Linked DNA regions of Callithrix jacchus. The protein of the gene in region 1 interacts with the protein of each later gene in a pairwise test. Links are inferred from orthologs where the notes say so. Each region holds a gene or a part of one and is shown in the gene's direction. Other genes may lie near its edges.

Region 1 (7,279 bases):
GCAGGCACAATTCTGCCTCAAGGCCTTCGTGCTTGCTGTTCTGTCCAAAATATTCTTCCCCTAGATAGCCACATGGCTTGCCATGACCTTTCTTCAGATCTTTGATCAAATGTCACCTTTTCAGTGAGACTGTCTCTGACACATACACCCAACAAACTCATACTTTCACTTCCCTCCTTTCTTTACATTGCATTTTCTTTTCTTTTTTTTTTTTTTTTGATACGGAGTTTCGCTATTGTTACCCAGACTGGAGTGCAATGGCACGATCTCGGCTCACCGCAGCCTCCGCCTCCTGAGTTCAAGCAATTCTCCTACCTCAGCCTCCCAAGTAGCTGGGACTACAGGCGCGCGCTACCATGCCCAGCTAATTTTTGTATTTTTAGTAGACACAGGGTTTCACCTCTTTGACCAGGATGGTCTCGATCTCTTGACCTCGAGATCCACCTGCCTCAGCCTCCCAAAGTGCTGGGATTACAGGCGTGAGCCACTGCGCCCGGCCTTACATTGCATTTTCAATACCTAACATACTACATATTTTACTTATTTTAAATAATGTGGCCGGGCACAGTGGCTCATGCCTGTAATCCCAGCACTTTGGGAGGCTGAGGCAGGTGGATCACTTGAGCCAAGAGATCGAGACCAGCCCGGGCAACATGGCAAAACCCAATCTCTGCAAAAAATGCAAAAATTAGGGAGGTGTGGTAGTGGATGCTTGTACTTCCAGCTACTTAAGAGGCTGAGACAGGAAGATCACCTGAGCCCAGGGAGGTCGAGGCTGCAGTGAGCCATTATTGTATCACTGTTAAGATTTATTAGGGCTGGGGGTTTTGCCTTTCTGTTTGCTATTTTTTTCCCTAGTCCTGAGAACACTACAAGGACCTAAATACTTATTGACTAAACAGATACTAAGAGGTTCACAAGCTAACGGCAACTTCCCCTTTCTGGACTTCATTTTCCCTTGTTTGTAACCGTGAGGGGTTGGACTAGGGTCTGGAGACCACCATGGTTCTGTGAGTCGGCGAGGCTGGGATGACAACACTTCGTGTTTGCACATCGTTCTACTGTTTATACCCATTATTTCATCCGATCTTCACAACCATCCAGGAGGGGAGCGGGAAAAGGGAAATAGCTGCTTCCTCCTTAGACATGAGGTAAGGAAGCTGAGAGAGGTTAGGCGACTTACCCAAGGTTCCACAACTGATAAGTGGATGGCTGAAACCAGAACCCAAGTCAGACCTCTCAGGTCCAGGGCTCCTTCCTCACCACCATTTGATGAATAGGGTCCTGCCTATTACGAATGCTGCTGCAGACCAACTCTTAGTAATCTTCCGGAGACACTGTCCCTGCCCCTCCAACCATCCAGGATGGGGTCCGGGTCACCCCCTTGGGATCCCCTTGGGGGGCAGGGGAAGTCTGGCTTCCCTCTCCATACCATGCAGTCCATGAGGATGAATTTGAGATTGTCTTCATTAAACGCTTGGTTCCCATTCCGGTCGTAGGCGGCCCAGATGTTACTGGCTATGGCCGCAGTGACCCGAGCGTCAGTGTCCCCGTAACCCGAGTAGGCCAGCAGTGATCCCTCGTTATTCAGCAGCCTGGTGAGGGGCGGGGAAGGATAACGTTGTGCCCAGGACAGAGAGTAAAACGCCTGGGTTTCCAGCCCAAGTCCCACCACTAGCACAGCCAGCAAGGGTCTGGGCTTAGTGTGTCCTGGAACGCGCCCTAAGCACCCAGCACACCGGCTTCCCTTTTCGAGAGGGTATCTACTGGCCAGCACTCCCAGCCGCTGCCCGCTCTGCCGCCTCCTCCCTTCCCGGCGATCCTTCCCCACCCCTCCCTCAGGGAGCCGCGCGCAGCCCAACTACGGGGCTGGCCGCTCGGGTCCGTGGTCCGCACTCACAGGGTGCTCTGGACTCCTCCAGTGTTGGCTTGGCTTAGCACCTGGGTTAAAGCCTTGGGGCGCAACATGCCTACGGCTTCTAACCCTGGGCTTTTGCACCCAGATCCTCCGAGGTGCCTCCCGCGAGCCGCTGACTTCTGCTTCCCGTAGTCCCGTGGCCTGCTTCCAAACGCCCTGGGAGTTGTAGTTTCCTCGCCTGGTTATTGTAGTTCCGACTCAACTCCCCACCCCGCCGCGGGCGGCTCTGGGAATCGTAGTTCCTTGTGGCCTCGCGAGGCACCCTGGGAACTATAGTTCGCCTTTCCAGGCTGACCACGCGGTTGCGGGGGGCAAAAAGAGCGGGAGTGGAAGGACAGTGGCAGCACTGGAAGGACATTTAACTCCTTCGGGGAGAAAGGAGTCAACGTGTCCGCTTGGCAGTCCACGATTCAATAATTAGACTACATCCTTATATTTGTCAGGCATGCCTTTGGTTACTTTCAAAACAGTTTTCTCCGTTATGCACAATTTTGTGCGATGAGGCGAGGGGAACTGTTACTATTATCTTGAGAAAACCAAGGCTCAGAAAGGCCACGCAGCCAAAACCCAACTCCCTGGAACCATTCTTAATAGACCAGTTAGGCCGTGACCCTCGGAGCTATAGGGTCAGTCCCAGAGCTAAGATCCTAAGGACTTAACTTGGTGGGAAAACCCAACCTCCAGGTCGGGAAAGGCCCCTGGCCTGGAAAGGACTTTGGGCTTCCAAGAAAGACCAAGTTATTACAGGGAATGGAGATAAAGCGGCGACACAGAAAGTCCTTTGTCCCGGAGCGGAGTTAGACGCGGAGGGGGCGGGGAAGCTTTGGGCTGGAAGGGACCGCGGCACGGCTCTGGCGGGCAGCGTTGGGCCTCTGTCTCCCCGAGGAGTCCGTCCCCGCCCCCGCAGTGAAGGGCACGCCCCTCCCCATGCCCAGAGCGCCCCCCAGGGGCCCCAGCCTGGCGAGCCCCGGGCCTGGCTCCGGACCCGGGGCTCGGCCCTGGGCGGAACCCGCTGCAGTGGCCCCCCCGGTCCGCCCGGGGCGCTGTGGCTGCGGCTGGTCCGGAGGGGGCGGTGAAGCCTCGGGGAGGGGAGGAGAGAGGAGGGGAGGAAGGGGAGAGGTGGAGAGAGGGGAGTGTTGGAGGCGCTGGAGCCGAGCCGGGCTGGCCGGGCGGGCGGGGAGGAGGAGGAGCTGGACGGGCTGGCGGGCGGCCGGGTGGCGGCGGCGGCGGCATGGCGGAGCCGAGCGGGGCCGAGACGAGGCCCCCCATTCGGGTCACCGTCAAGACCCCCAAGGACAAGGAGGAAATTGTAATCTGCGATCGAGCCTCGGTCAAGGAGGTAGTACGGCTGGCGGGGGGCGGAGGGAGCGCGGAGGAGGGGTCTGTGAAGAGATGGGGGGCCCTCCCTGAGGTTCTGGCGTCCCGGAGGGCCCCGGAGAGGAGGGCGAGGGCCAGCTGGGACTCCGTGGAGCTGGAGGAAGGGAGAGGCGGGTAGGGGGCGCCCTGCGAGGGGAGATCTAGGGGAGCGTGGCGCGTGTTGAGGGGCGGGTTTTGCCGTGTGGCCTGGGCTGGGGGCGTGGTGGAGAGTGAGGAGGGGACACTTTGCACCGGGAAGAGGGAAGGATCCTGGGTTTGAGGGGAGTGTACCCGAGTGGAGGCCGCGGCAAGGTGCTAACCGAGAGAAGTGGCCGGGGGCTGGCGAAGAGCGCCGGCGCCTACTCGGTGCCTCAGAGAACGCCCAGTGTTCTGTGAGCGGCGGGGCTGTCGGGGGAGGATTTCCCTGTGCCCAGATCCTTCCCACTCTTTCAAATCGACGTGGTTACATTTGGTTCTCAGCTCTTCTGAGATTTACACGGTGTGCAGTAGGTGCTCAATAAAATCTTGTTGAATGAGGGACTGTTGCCTGTGTTCGCCACCCCCTGTGGCCACTCCATAATTTCACATAGGCGGGGCTTAAGACAGGCCATCTGGTTGGAAGAGAGGGATCTGGAAGCTGCCTCTGCTTAACAAGTGCACTGTTTTTACTTAAAGTGTGTGTTGTGTTGTGTTGTGTTGTGTTGTGTTGTGGAGGGGCCAATAGAATTTGGGGAGTCTAACTCCATCTTTTCTCCCTCCCTAACCACAGAGAATTACTAAATTTCAGAATTTAAATACCGTACTGTTCCTTGCAAAGCCGAATTTGAAAACGGCTTTCATTGAGAGGTAGTGTGTTTAGGTGAGAGCCTGGACTTTGGTGTCAAGCTTTGAGTTCTGTTCTGCCTAGGGCAAGTTACCTTATCTTGCTGATTCTTTGAGGCTGGCGTGATGGCTCTTGCCTGTAATCTCAGCACTTTGGAAGCCCAAGCCTGGTGATCACCTGAGGTCAGGAGTTCAAGACCTGCCTGGCCAACATGGTGAAGCCCCCTCTCTACTAAAAATACAAAATTAAGCCGGGCATGGTGGTGTGTGCTTGTAGTCCCAGCCACTCGGGAGGCTGACGCAGGAGAATCACTTGCACCCGGGAGATGGAGGTTGCAGTGAGCCAAGATCGCACCACTGCACTCCAGCGTGGGTGACAGAGCAAGATCTCAAGATAAATATAACAATAAATAAAATGAAGATAATAATTAATATACTAGATCTTTAACTCGTGCATAGATAGTGCTCAGTAGCTGGCATCTACTTGTTGTAGTTGTTACAAGAACACTGGGAATAGAGAGGAGAGAAAATTGGGTCTCAGAAGGCTAAAGGTCCAAGGCTGTTGACCTAGTTGAGACGGGGCCGGGGGGACGTTGAGGGGGAATGGGGAGGCTGCCCTGCCTCACAGAGAACTAGGTGGAGGGACTTAAGCTGGGAGGCAGATAGCAGCAAGGGCTTTCTACAGTGGGAGACAAGAGCCTCTCACTGGTCCATCTCCTTTGTTAAGAAAGGAGATGCTTATTACAGCTGGAGGAATGGTGTTGAGACCACAGAAACGACTTCCCATGAAAGAACTTCCCAGCCGGGCATGGTGGCTCACGCCTGTAATCCCAGCACTTTGGGAGGCTGAGGCGGGTGGATCACAAGGTCAAGAGATCAAGACCATCCTGGTCAACATGGTGAAACCCCGTCTCTACTAAAAATACAAAAAAATTAGCTGGGCACAGTGGCGCGTGCCTGTAATCCCAGCTACTCAGGAGGCTGAGGCAGGAGAATTGCCTGAACCCAGGAGGCGGAGGTTGCGGTGAGCCGAGATTGCGCCATTGCACTCCAGCCTGGGTAACAAGAGTGAAACTCTGTCTCAAAAAAAAAAAAAAAGAAAGAAAGAAAGGACTTCCCATGACTAGAGATGAGAGCAAGAGAGTACAGAAGCTGTTAAAGAGTCAGGGTCCCTGGTAGGGCGAGTCCAGGCAGCCTCCACAGTGACCTCTGCCTCTTGATCACAGTTCAAAGAGGAAATCTCCCGGAGGTTTAAGGCTCAGCAGGATCAGCTGGTCCTGATCTTCGCAGGCAAGATCCTCAAGGATGGGGACACACTGAACCAGCATGGAATCAAGGACGGGCTCACTGTCCATCTGGTCATCAAGACCCCTCAGAAGTAAGTTCAGGAGCAGAGCAGATCCAGCTTCTCACTGGGCCTCCCAGTCTGATACTTTCTCACTCATTGCTCAGCTGTACCCAGAAGGCCTATCTATGCTGAGGCCCCAGCAGGTAGCTCCTAGATGAATATGATCTCATCTCTAGGGGAGGAGAAGCTGATTTACCACTCCCAGAATGCCCTGAAGACAGATAATAGTAGCTGCTTTCTCCCTCTCCCTGGTGTGCTGACTGCCCCTCAGCCATCCCCCAGCCCCAGCATCAAGGCTGCTCAGGAGGAGGCTTGGGTTAAAACAGTAGTCCCATGGCAAGCACAGAGATTGTCCCAGTACCTTCCCTCTTCTAGTGCTCACTCCAACTAGGATTCTCCTTTCTCTGTCCTCAGGGCTCAAGATCCAGCCGCTGCCACTGCTTCCTCCCCTTCCACACCTGACCCTGCCTCAGCACCCTCCACCACGCCTGCTTCACCCGCCACCCCTGCACAGCCCTCCACCTCTGGCAGTGCCTCTTCGGATGCTGGCGGTGGAAGCCGGAGGAGCAGTGGGGGGGGGCCCTCTCCAGGGGCTGGAGAGGGACCCCCCAGTGCTACTGCGTCCATACTGTGTAAGCCCTCAGAGAGGAGAACACAATCTTGTTTGGGGTTGGGGAGTTGGGGAACGCCTAGAGGAGGGAGAAGCATGGTTCCTGCCCCTGCTCTGATGGGGATAGGGGACTCCATAGAGTTTCAGACATTGATATTTGATTCAAGCTGGGAAGGAAACTAGTCTGAGGAGTTCCCAGAGGTGGGGACAATGGCTAAGAGTTAGGAGTTGGGGGAGAAATGGGGTTGGGGATGTGGAGAACCCTGGGTAAAGAGAGTGGAAGACCCTGTGAGTCTGGGGAAAAGTTGGATCCAGCAGTAGCCAGATGGGCTACTCATTCAACCATTGCTGGTTGCCTTCTCTCTGCTCAGTTCTGTGTTTGGCACAGCCTCAGCCTTCAGAGAGGTCTCAGCCTAGTAGGCTCACATTTTTTTGCCAGCAATGGATCAGGGCCGGGCTGTGGGAGTGATTGGAAGAGGGACGTGTGAGAAGCATTTGGGGCCTGTCATGGAGACCTGAATTCAGTAGCTCTGGCTAGGAGAGGAATGGGCTCTTGTGGCAGACTGTGACCCTGCCCCCTTCCCACAGCTGGCTTTGGGGGCATCCTGGGGCTGGGCAGCCTGGGCCTGGGCTCTGCCAACTTTATGGAGCTGCAGCAGCAGATGCAGAGGCAGCTGATGTCCAATCCTGAGATGCTGTCACAGATCATGGAGAACCCCCTGGTCCAGGATATGATGTCGAACCCTGACCTGATGCGTCACATGATCATGGCCAACCCCCAGATGCAGCAGCTGATGGAGCGGAACCCCGAGATCAGCCACATGCTCAACAACCCTGAACTCATGAGGCAGGTGGGTATGAGAGGGCTGGAGAGCTGGAGGACACTGGTGCCCAGCCATGCCCTGCTCAGCCTTTCCTTCCTTGTCCTACATTGATTTGTCCACTTGTGTATTCAGCAGTTTTGAACACTGGAGGTACAGCGATGAAAAGACAGGCCTAGCTTTTCAGGAATTCCAGTGTCAAAGGGAAGTGGGACAAGTAAACTGGCAATTAGCATACCGTGTGGTCAGTGCTATTGGAAGGATAATCACAGGATCCCCTAGGAGCATAGAGAAGAGCTCCTGACCCTACCCTGGGGCTTAGAGGAGGAATGTCACCAAGAAGAAATGGCACCAAGCTGAGACCCAAAGGAGGAAGACAACCAGGGGGAAAAAAAGACTAGAGC
Region 2 (6,824 bases), on another chromosome or scaffold:
ATACCATATTACCAATATATTTGATGGTTATATTTGGAATATAATGGACATCAGCAACTCTGACATAGAAAGTCTCAATGTGAGGAAATATAAGGGATCTCTTAAGTGCTTCATTTGCCTATTTTTCTTGTTAACGCATGCCTAAAAGTGGTATATGTTAAAATTAATGTGTAAGTAAGACTATCAGTAAGTTTGAAGTAAAATCTGAGTGATAAAAAAGCATGTGATCATTTGGCAGTGACTTTATTTTTTCTTAAAGGTTTGTATAATCATATGTCTTAAATTTGAAGAAATACTATACATCATTTTTGTAACCCTCCTTCAAGCATAGTAAAATTTGTCACCATCTGAAAAATCTTTTACTTGGAAGTAGATTTACTGCCTTTGATAACATCATTGATTCATTCATGATGCCTTTTAAAACTTTTAACCAACCTTTATCTGAGGGATGTCTAGAGTTTCCTGAAGTATCATTGGCAACTTCTAGTAGGTTCTTTGTGTGTTCTGTTGACCTTAATAGTGGATTTATATTCTATATCAAACCAGTTTCATTCATGTAAAATCTTATCTTACCTTTATGGTTTTGAGGCATTCACATACACATTTTATCCATGTTAAATTTCATCTTGTTGATAGTTAAATTTTGATTGTTGTCCAGTACCTATGTTTTCCAGTTTGTACAGCTGTGTCTTTATGGCATGTCAATTAGAACTTTGTCTAAGATGATACAAGTATTTTTTGGACTAGAGTAGATGAATAGATGATCACATGGTCAATTCAACTATATTGGCATCTAGTTCCTATATTTTCTTTTATACACTAGGCTTAGATTTATATTCTGAAAGACTGTTTTGTGTATGTAAGTTATAAAGTTACTATTCTTAGGAGAGTAGTCTTATCTTTGTTATTTAGAGAGATCCTGACTGTCAAAATATGCCCAGTTTATACTTTTAATTGATTTCCTAATATATTTATTGCCTTGGAACTAATGATATTGATATTCATTGTCAGTAGCATTGTTAAATAATTTATATCTTTTTGTAATCTTTAATCTTTAGAAATCTATGTGGACTGAACATAAATCACCTGATGGAAGGACTTACTACTACAACACTGAAACCAAACAGTCTACCTGGGAGAAACCGGATGATCTTAAAACACCTGCTGAGGTAAAAGTTTTGAGGACTAGAACTCAGGAACCGTCAAGTCAACTGGGACATATTTTTTTAGGATTTTGTAAGTAGTTGACTATCCAAAGAGCAGTATTGCTTAAATGCCAGAAGAGGATCTGTAAAGGCATTCAGGAAAAAAAAGAGGATTAATGTAGTCAAGCTGATCAGGAAGAAGAGCAATAAAACTCATCAGATTAATCTTATTTAGTAATTTTGCCCCTGCTCAGGAAACGTAGTAGAATGAGATCAATTTAAGAAATGTGATTTAAAGAATAAATTGGAAGCGGGAAGACTGTTTCTTTGCTCGCCCTTTATTTTTTTCTGTTTGTAGCGAAACTGGGTGATTTTAAGTGACTTCTACTGAGTTTTTAAATTTCCGGTAGGGTTAAGAGTAGTGAAGATGAATGAAGTTAAGTTACCTTAAAGTACCTTCTCTTAGAGTGGGAGATTTTCTCTTTGCAGGAAATGCTGTTTTGAAAAGTGTCTTATTTCATTCTGTGTTTTAATTTTTACCATTCAAAATGTACAGATACTGAAGAAAGAGTTAAGGTTGAAGAAATAAACTGAATTAAGCAATGTTGCATGTGGTTTAGTTAGAAACTCTGGGGTGCTAAGTAAGTAAGAGTTGATCTGGCATTTAAGATTGCTGTGCTTAGGTTTCATTGTAGCTGGTGGTATACCTTTTTGTTTTCTTCTCTTCCTAATGAAGGAATTGGAGAAGGTAAGAGTATTCTCCAGGTCCCCACACTGATACAGCAATGCTTGGGAGGGGAGGTTGGTATGGTAGATTTTTAAAAACATGTATTCCAGTACTGATTAATAGTCAATATTAATTCTGTACTTTGTCCAAGACACTGTGTCTGGATACAACCTTTGGATAGATTTCTCATGCCACCCTAACAGGTTTTGTGTATTAGATTTTAAGTATATTATACCTACATGTTTGCTTACATAAGTTAGTTCATACAGAGTTATAATAAACTACAAAACTGAAATCTGAGCATGACTAAACTAGATACTGTCTTTTTCCAACTTTTGTGGTTTTCCAACTAATGTTAGTATTTGAGAAGACTATTAAATATGGATGATAATCTTTACCTGTAATGGGGTGTGAATGATAAGAGTAAATAGGATTTGAAATTTATATACAACTGATTTTGAATCTTGGTTCTGCTTTTTAATGAGTGTATTACCTTAAACGCATTACTTTCTGACTTCAAGTAACAGTCCCTAGATATGGAATTATGTCATACATTTTGCAGTGTTACAAAGATTAAATAATATATGCAAATGACATCACTCTGAGTATTCAGTAATTGATAGTTTATATTATTCGCATCATTTCACAAGTTTTAGAATTATATCATAATTGGTAATTAGTGAAAATAGACATGAAAATGATAGTGATGCTAAATATATTATTATTAACAGACAGGTTTTTTTTTTTCTCTTTAGCAACTCTTATCTAAATGCCCCTGGAAGGAATACAAATCAGATTCTGGAAAGCCTTACTATTATAATTCTCAAACAAAAGAATCTCGCTGGGCCAAACCTAAAGAACTTGAGGATCTTGAAGGTAAAATGGGAAAAAGTAGTTTTAATGTATATCTTTTATATATGTATGCCATTCACTTTGAAACAATTCCTCCACAATAGGATTGTTCAAACAAAGGCCTTTTTTTTTAAATTAAATGATTAAAACATTTAAAATGATATAACAGTTTGTTGGGCTCTTATTTTCTTGTTGCTCTAGATCTCAGTTTATAGATTTTAAATAGATTTTTATTTGATTTGATTCCACTGAAACTAGGATACCAGAATACCATTGTTGCTGGAAGTCTTATTACAAAATCAAACCTGCATGGTGAGCTGCTTTGATAATTCATTTTCTGTCATACCTAACGTTTTTATTAGAGTATGTCACTAATATTCACTAACCATGATTGGATAAATCTGCAGTGAAAAAAATCTAAGAATTCCTTTCATTAAAGGGTTATATTATAAATGAGCTTGTAGCTTTTAAAATTGTACTCTGATTTTTAGAAAAAAATTGTTTATCATTCAATTGAACAAGGATTTCATATACAAAATTTCTAAATCCTACTACGAGTGTTGGTGCATAGAATATTTGTTTTTAACTCATTCATGAGTACATAGTAGAGATCCTTGAATCTTTATCCATTTATATTTTGTTAGTATATTGTCAGACTATATATTTAATGCTGGTTTTGTTTTAGCTTTACGTTGCAAAATAACCTTGATATGTTCGTTATGGAAGAATTAAGGTAAACCAAGTATCCCACCTTTCTTATAAAGGGAGAATTTTTCAACATTGAACTAATCAGAATAACCCTTAAAAACCTAGAAATACCTAATACTAAATATAAAACCTAAGACTTAAAATAGAGATAATGAGTAAGAATTGAAAATCTAGTTTTCATACTCACTTTTGATAGAATCTAGTGTCATAAAATATACCGAATTAGAAGCAGCAGACTGTAGGAGAATGGGGCTAATAAAGTAGATAGTGATGTGGAATGACATCTGGCAGGAAAGGTAATAAAAATTTCCTAGAAGACACTGTCGTCTTTGTGCGACCTCATTAGTTAGATTATCATTGTATCAGAAAAATGTTAATTATATTAGTAGTGATAACTTTTTAAGTATGTTTTTTCAGCCATCCTAAACAGATTTTCAGAAATGTTTTTCTTTAAAGGGTGGTAAGTTTTAAAATATTTTTATAAAGAGTTAGGCTTACATTATCACTTAATGTGGAGAATCTCATTCCCTAATGATGTCGAATAAAACATATTTTTGTTACATCTGAAGGAAAATATACTGGAATGAAAACCAAAATAATACAGATCTTTAAAGCTCAGTTTAAGTTACCTATACTAGCATTGGCTAACAATAATATTGTAGATAGGTAGTTTCCCAGTTGATCACTTATGAAGTATCAAGCTCATTTCTGATATAACCCTACTACGAATAGTTGGTGTGCATAACTATCTATCTACTTGTCAATGCTAGTATATATGTGCTGGAATTTTGTAATAAATTTGATCCCATTTTGAAGTTAGTATCTTTAAAATATATCAAACTAGTCTCATCCCTGGAGAAAATACTGTTTTCTTCCAGAATTATGCAGATACTTTCATAGAGTTGTTACAGCAGCCTTTGGGAAAGTAGCAGCATGAAATAAGCTTTCCTAGTAATTATTATTTAAATTTGTTTTAGTCTTTATTTGCTATACTAGAACATTGGAGCAAGAATTTGTTCTATAAAAGTGATTTTCTGTTTTTTAGGATGGCAAATGAAATCCTATTATATGGTATCTTATCTTCTTTTAAGTTTATTTTCAGGATTATATTTTAAAACTAGTTGATGACTCTTTTTCTCTCTTTAATAGCAATGATCAAAGCTGAAGAAAGCAGGTAAGCAATTTTGGACATCAATTTTTATTTACAAATTTGGTCTCTCTTATAACATCCTTCTGTTTGCTCAGTTTTCTTTATAATAAAAATAATTATTTAACATGTTAGGTTTGATATTTTGATCTCCTTTTTGCATTTCGTTGAGAAAATATTACGAAGAGGGATACTTACTCAATTTGATGCTTTGCTATACATTAATTATTAGAATTTGGACTGTATCACTTGCAAATTAAGACTGTTAGGTTAAAGCCCAAAATTCAATTTGAGTTGATTAGGGAGTAGATGAAATATATCTGTGTTTCTCTTCCTTTACACAGCGTTTCCTCTAAATGAGTGGATTGTAGAAAATTTAAAGTTCTTAGAGAACTTTTCATATAGGTCAGATTTTTATGGTGAGATACAATCTGATAGATTGGGCATTTTGTAATGTGAGCGCTGACTGAACTTTTAGAAATGCACACACTTGTGTGAGTTCCTGTAATACATTACCATGAATGTTTACTGAATGAAGTCAAAGTAGTATAGTTACAGTCTGATTTAAAAATTTTTTTTTAATGGGTTTGGCATTTCTTGCTGTTTTTTCCTTCAGTTATTTCTCTTAAATCATTTGATTTTATGACAATTTTAAAGCAAGCTTGATTTATCTTTCTGATTACAATAACCAAGTGACCATTGTTCTCTTTTTTTAATGTATAGTAAGCAAGAAGAGTGCACCACAACATCAACAGCCCCAGTCCCTACAACAGAAATTCCGACGACAATGAGCACCATGGCTGCAGCAGAAGCAGCAGCTGCTGTTGTTGCAGCTGCAGCAGCAGCTGCAGCAGCTGCTGCTGCAGCCAATGCTAATGCTTCCACTTCTACTTCTAATACTGTCAGTGGAACTGTTCCAGTTGTTCCTGAGCCAGAAGTTACTTCCATTGTTGCTACTGTTGTAGATAATGAGAATACAGTAACTATTTCAACTGAGGAACAAGCACAACTTACTAGTACCCCTGCTATTCAGGATCAAAGTGTGGAAGTATCCAGTAATACTGGAGAAGAAACATCTAAGCAAGAAACTGTAGCTGAGTAAGTTTAGTAACTTGTCTTCTGAAAATCAGTACCAGATTTCATTAATAAAATAATTTTCAGTTTAGTTAGTGACCAATGATTGCTTAAATAATTTTTTTTTTTTTTTTTTTTTTTTTGAGAATCATAACATCAAGCCATTAGGTAGTTTTTTCAGTTTTCAGGCCGGGTTTTGGAGGGTCATGCTGCAAACGTGAAAAATAGTTCACAGGAATTGTAGCAAGTAGAGCCAAGGCTAGGGAGTTGGGGTACAAATCTAAAAGATTGCCAGAAACCTTAGTAAGCAGGATATATCATATTTCAATGCAGTGTTTTACATGAGATCAATGCAAAAATTAATGAATAACAAACTATCGGTATTTTCAGTTAAGATAGCTATACTCTTATCTTCTTTGGCTTATTAGTATTTTGGGTTTCAACCTCTTATAAATAAGTTAAAAAAAATACAGCTTTGTAGAAAAATGAAGTATGGGTTAAAAAAGGCAGTTTATGGCTGCACCTGGTGGCTCACACCTATAATCCCAGCACTTTGGGAGGACAAGGCAGGAGGATCACTTGAGCCTAGGAGGTCAAGGCTGCAGTGAGCTGTAATTGCACCACTATACTGCAGCCTGGGTGAAAGCAAGGCCACCCCGGTCTGTTTTTTTTTTTTTTTTTTTTTTTTTTGACACAGAGTCTCACTCTGTCACCCAGGCTGGAGTTCAGTGGTGTGATCAGGCCTCACTGTATCCTCGACCTCCTGGGTTCAAGCGATTCTCCCACTTTAGCCTCCTGAGGAGCTGGGACTACTGGCACAACACCATACCTAGCTTATTGGCCTGCCTCGGCCTCCCAAAATGCTGGGATTATAAGTGTGAGCCACTCTACCTTGCCAAGAAAAAAAAGCAAATTACAGAGAAAGTTAGTTGTCTAGGAAGTATATGAAAAGCCATTCAGCCATAATAATAAAGAATATAAACTAACATAATACTGTGATTATTTTTCTAAGTGAAATGCAAGTATAGAGAAACATTTAAAAGATAACACCAGATAAAAGAAAACTCTCATTTCACCCTTAGAATAAAATAATACAGCTTTTTAATAAAGCAAAGCTGTATTTGTCAGCATTGATGGTTTGTGTGTACTTGCATATCCTGTAGTCTAGTAC
Region 3 (5,624 bases), on another chromosome or scaffold:
TAAAATTTGCTCAGAAAGAAAACATTTATTTACTAAATATCAGAAATACTAGGTTTCCTCAGATAAGTTTACATTACAGGAAATGTTTATTAATGCTTGCTATTTGAAACATTAAGCTGCTTGCAATATATTTAAGGTATTTTGTAGTTATCTAATATCTAGTAAGCATCTAATTAATGCCTATCAAAGCTAAGATTTTGCCTTTAGGAAGTTTTCTTTCCTAATAAAATAGTTTATTCAACAACTATTCTTTTTGTTAGGATCATTCATATATTTGCTAAGCAAAGTGTAAATTTATTTTCCTTAAGATTCATTTTGAATATACTAAGAATATTAAAGCAAGTTAGATAAAGGACTCAATATATTTGTCAATTGGAAGTTTAATAGACATTGTTTAATTCAATGAACAGTTTTGAGCTGCAGTTTATATATACATGCATAACAGAGTCAGCTTACGATTATCCATGCTAATAGGGAAGTGATTATAGATTTTGGTACACACATTAAAATATGAATGCTCTTTTCTTTTGATAAATCTCATTTCAAATAGGAAAATCAGTCTCATAATTATGTATCTGTATCTATTACAACATTGAATTTAGTAAATTAAATAATGTTTAATATGTATAAGAAAAAACAATGTTATTAATATGAAGATTACACTCACATATTTGGCTTGAAAATATCTATGAAAATGATTTTTCTTAGAAAGTAAGAAAAGTTCCTCAGAATGTTATTATTTATCCCTGTGTTAAAAGTGAAATTGGAAGATGCTCACTTTAGCTCCTAAAAGCCATGGAGTGTACTATGAATGCAAAGATTCTGAAACTAAATAAAAAGAAAGACAGTAAAAGACTAATGTGCTATAAAGTCTAAGGGAAAATAAAAACCCATACGCTAATTTTCCTGGTCATCTTAATTTTCAGACCCTTCCAAGTAAGTCCAATGAAAGCCATGATGACATGGACGATGTGGATGATGATGATGATGATGACCATGTGGACAGCCAGGACTCGAATGACTCTGATGAAGTAGATCACACTGATGATTCTCACCAGTCTGATGAATCTCACCATTCTGATGAATCCGATGAACTGGTCACTGATTTTCCCACGGACCTGCCAGCAACTGAAGTTTTCACTCCACCTGTCCCCACAATAGACACATATGATGGCCGAGGTGATAGTGTGGGTTATGGACTGAGATCAAAATCCAAGAAATTTCGCAGATCTGACATCCAGGTAAATCCTTTAAAAGACATATCTGATGGTTCTGACTAGAGCTCAAGTCTAGGAAACCATAGTTTGCATATTCATTCATTCATTTGTCCATTCATTCATCCATTCAGCAAGAATTCATTCATATTCTACTTCATGATCAATGAATACAAATCTTTTTCTATTTGGTGGTTTTTGTAAGTCTACATAATTCCTCTCTAGATTGGATTCCCAAACACAATTCTATTTTTTCAAATCCTGAATCACTTACTTTTAGATTTAAAAAAATGGAAAACACTAATTATTTTAAAAATATAATGGTCATGTTTTCAAGTTAAATAACTAAGAGGAATTGTAGAGTTGCAAATTACACTGAATCCTTAGTCAGAGAATCTGGATTTGACATAGACTTGCCATTTACTATTCTCTTTACTTTTTAACTTCCAATTCACTTCCTCTTTATGTGAAACAGATATAATCAAACCTATCTCATAGGTTTCATTACATAAGTAAGTGATGTACTTATTAAACTAAAGGAGATAACATATGTGAAAGGGCTTGGTAAAGTACTATACAAAGTAACATGCTAATATTATTTCAGGAAGATTTAGACAATTTTTAGTACAAGATGGCCTAAATGTTAGAGAGCAGAAAAGGATTACCATATTCCCATCCCTAGCTGTTCATATAATTCTTCTTCATTTGTGCTGTGATTCAGTACCCTGATGCTACCGAGGAGGACATCACCTCACACGTGGAAAGCGAGGAGTTGAATGGTGCATACAAGGCCATCCCTGTTGCCCAGAGCCTGAACGTGCCTTCTGATTGGGACAGCCATGGGAAGGACAGTCATGAAATGAGTCAGCTGGATGACCAAAGTGCGGAAACCCACAGCCACGAGCAGTCCAGATTACATAAGCGGAAAGCCAGTGATGAGAGCAATGAGCATTCAGATGTGATTGATAGTCAGGAAGTTTCCAAAGTCAGCCGTGAGTTCCACAGCCATGAATTTCACAGCCAGGAAGATCTGCTCGTTGTAGATCCTAAAAGTACGGAAGAAGATAAACACCTGAAATTTCGCATTTCCCATGAATTAGATAGTGCATCTTCTGAGGTCAATTAAAACAAGAAAAAATACAATTTCTCACTTTTCTTTTAGTAGAAAGAAAAGATGCTTTATAGCAAAATGAAAGGGAATATGAAATGCTTATTTCTCAGTTTAGTGGGTGAATGTGTATCTATGTGAATCTGGAAATAACTAATGTGTTTGATCATTAGTTTAGTTTGTCATAGAAACTCCCTGTAAACTAAAAGCTTCAGGGTTATATCTATGTTCATTCTATAGAAGAAATATAAACTGTCACTGTATTTTAATGTTTGTTATTCTTTTATGAATAGAAATTTATGTAGAAGCAAACAAAATACTTTTACACACTTAAAAAATAACATTTTATGTCATTATGATCTTTCATTTTTTAAATTAGTGTATATTTTGTTGTGATTATCTTTCTTTTGTGGTGTGAATAAATCTTTCATCTCAAATGTAATAAGAATTTGGCGGTGTCAATTGCTTACTTGTTTTCCCACACTTGTCTAGCAATTAATAAAATATAACATTTTTTACTGCCTATGTAACATTTTTAAAGCTTTATTTTGGTTTTAATTGATACATAATAATTGTAGATATTTATGGGGTACTGTGTTGATGTTTTGATACATACATACACTGTATAATTATCAAAGGGTAATTATCATATCCATCACCTCAAACACTTGTCATTTCTTTGTAATGAGAATATTCAATCCTATGTTCTAGCTATTTTGAAGTATATGATACATTATTATTGACTCTAATCAACATACTGTGCAATAGAATACCAGAATTTATTCCTCCTAGCTAACTGTAACTTTGTACCCATTGACTAACCTCCCCCATCGACCTTCCTACTCTCTCTCCTGCTGGTAATCACTATTCTACTCTCTACTTCTATGAGGTCAACTTTTCCAGATTCCATATATGAGTGAGGTCATGTAGTACTTGTCCTTCGGTGCTTGGCTTATTTAACTTAACCTCCTCTAGGTTCACCTATGTTGTCAAAAATGCCAGGAGAAAACATGCACAAACTATGCATCTAAGAAAGAATTAAAATCCAGAACACATAAGGAACTCAAACAATGTAATATCAAGAAAAAGAAAAGAAAACTCAAATAATCCAATTAAAAATGGGTACAAATATGAATAGACATTTCTCAAAAGAAGACGTGCAAATGGCCAACAGGTATATGGAAAAATGCTCAACATCACTCACTAATTATCAGGGATATGCAAATCACAACCATTATGAGTTATCAACCCACCCAATTTAAAATGGCTTTTATCAAAGAGACAAAAAATAACAGATACAGGGCCAGGATTTGGGGAAAGAAGGACACTCGTATACTGGTAAGAAATGTAAATTAGTACAGCCACTATGAAAAACTTTATGGAGAACTGCTCAGAAAAACAAAAATAGAACTACTGTATTATTTAGCAATCCCATTGCTGAGCATATAACCAAAAGAAAAGAAATCAGTATGTGGAAGAGATATCTGAACTACCATGTTTATTGCAGCACTATTCGTAATAGCCAAGATGTGCAATCAGTGTAAATGTCCCTCATGATGAATAGTAAAACATGGTATATAAACACAATGGAATACTATTTGGCCATTAAAAGAAATTAAATCCTGTCATTTGGAGCAATGTGGATGGAACTGGAGGTCATTATGTTAAGTGAAATAAGACAGGCACAAAAAGACAAAGATCGCGTGTTCTCACCCATATATGGGAGCTAGAAAAGTGGATCGCGTAGAGATATACTGTAAATTGGTGGTTCCACCAGAGGGTGGAGAGGTGAAGGCTAGGGGCAGATGAAGACAGGTTGATTAACGGGTACAAATATACACTTAGGTAGAAGAAATAAGATTTAGCATTTGACAGTAGAGTAGGGTGACTATAAATAATTTATTGTATATACATTTGTTAAAAGCCCTAAAAGATGAGAATTCAAGTTCCCAACATAAAGAAAAGATAAATGTTTGAGGAAATGGGTATTTCAATCATGCTAACTGAATCATTATACACTAAATGCATGGACCAAAACATCACATGTGCCCCCAAAATATGGACACCTATTATGTATCAATTTAAAAAATAATCAATAGATTTAAAAGGAAGCTATACAGATATTAAACATATGAGTGAGTAACTTCACAGTCTTGGTGTGAGGAAACCTCTTCTAAGGATGAGAAGACAATGCCATGCCACAGTCCTTGTAGATTTCATTAGTCAGGTGCAGAAGCCCCTTTGGTTCCCAGCATACCTGCTTCAGTTGGCACTTCTCACACTCACCTGCAGGTGATGGCTGGATTGATGGTGCTGTTCCTGCACGCTTGGCACTGTGCCCAAATCCAAGGGCATGACCAAGTTAATCTTGAAATCGCTTATTTGAATAGTGGTACTGTTTAACAACTGCTCCTTGCGCCATTTCTCTATTAGTCAGGGTGCATTCAGAAGACAGAAAAGAGACCAGTAATTTGAACAGGAAAAAATTAATTTAAAGCATTAATAACTAGAAAGAGGGGGTAAACCAGAGAGGACAAAAGAGAACATTAACAATACCATGGGGCTGAGATTGCCCATCTAAGGAACAACTTGCAAAAGGTGGAGCCGTCTCCCCAAAGCTGAGATTCAGACTTCACTGGAAAGGGTACAGCCACAGCCCAAGGGATGGCAGAGAAGTCTGCTGTGTTATCCTGAATTGGAGCTGGTCCACAGTGGTCCAACTGGTGGCTTCATGTTGGAAAACAAGAGACTTTCCACAGAGGTTCCAGCAGACTGAGGCCAGCAAAGAAGGAAAACCATGGGGCGGGCCAGCTGAGCAGAAAGTTGGCTGGAGGGTGGGTGCCATAAGGTGCTCTATGTGCACAGCAGTGTCCCTCCAGTGCCCTCTATTGATAAAGCTTGCCACTGTGCCAGCTGGCAAAGGAAGCATGTTTACAAGATTCAACTCCAGCAGCATCACAGAGCAAGGCAGAAGCAATGGATTTGCAGCAGGGAGGCACAAATCTGACAGCTGGCACAGGTCACTGGGGAAAAGGCTTATTCCTCCTGGACAACAAGAGTACAAAAATGAGCCTGGGATATTTTTTCATGATAGGATGAAAGCAAGCATGCAAGGACAAAATGGGGTTATATCCAAGGGACCAAAGAGCAGAGCTGCAAGGGGCTTCCATTGACCAAAACTGGGGTAATTGTAACAATAACAGAATAATGACAGTAACACATTGTAAAAATTGAATTTTAAAAACTCCATTAGTATACAGTGATACTATAAGAAAGAGAGCATTAAAGACGGAAAATTTTTC

The links.
Region 2: the proteins of UBQLN4 (region 1) and PRPF40A interact in a two-hybrid assay, tested with the Homo sapiens proteins (2 studies listed by BioGRID and IntAct). The link is inferred for Callithrix jacchus from reciprocal best matches to the Homo sapiens genes UBQLN4 and PRPF40A.
Region 3: the proteins of UBQLN4 (region 1) and SPP1 interact in a two-hybrid assay, tested with the Homo sapiens proteins (2 studies listed by BioGRID and IntAct). The link is inferred for Callithrix jacchus from reciprocal best matches to the Homo sapiens genes UBQLN4 and SPP1.

Annotation. Positions count from the first base shown.
Region 1 is NC_133519.1:16,437,477-16,444,755, reverse strand, and holds the start of UBQLN4 (ubiquilin-4), read left to right. Parts: upstream 1-2,743; 5' UTR 2,744-2,845; coding exon 2,846-3,257; intron 3,258-5,322; coding exon of another isoform or gene 5,323-5,386; coding exon 5,387-5,474; intron 5,475-5,858; coding exon 5,859-6,076; intron 6,077-6,642; coding exon 6,643-6,905; intron 6,906-7,279. Other genes in the region: ragulator complex protein LAMTOR2, read right to left, coding at 1,433-1,595, 1,901-1,968. UniProt on the Homo sapiens protein: Regulator of protein degradation that mediates the proteasomal targeting of misfolded, mislocalized or accumulated proteins.
Region 2 is NC_133507.1:77,395,576-77,402,399, forward strand, and holds part of PRPF40A (pre-mRNA-processing factor 40 homolog A), read left to right. Parts: intron 1-1,058; coding exon 1,059-1,169; intron 1,170-2,627; coding exon 2,628-2,748; intron 2,749-2,982; coding exon 2,983-3,036; intron 3,037-4,581; coding exon 4,582-4,606; intron 4,607-5,302; coding exon 5,303-5,677; intron 5,678-6,824.
Region 3 is NC_133504.1:109,662,591-109,668,214, reverse strand, and holds the end of SPP1 (osteopontin), read left to right. Parts: intron 1-926; coding exon 927-1,241; intron 1,242-1,935; coding exon 1,936-2,340; 3' UTR 2,341-2,849; downstream 2,850-5,624. UniProt on the Homo sapiens protein: Major non-collagenous bone protein that binds tightly to hydroxyapatite. Appears to form an integral part of the mineralized matrix. Probably important to cell-matrix interaction.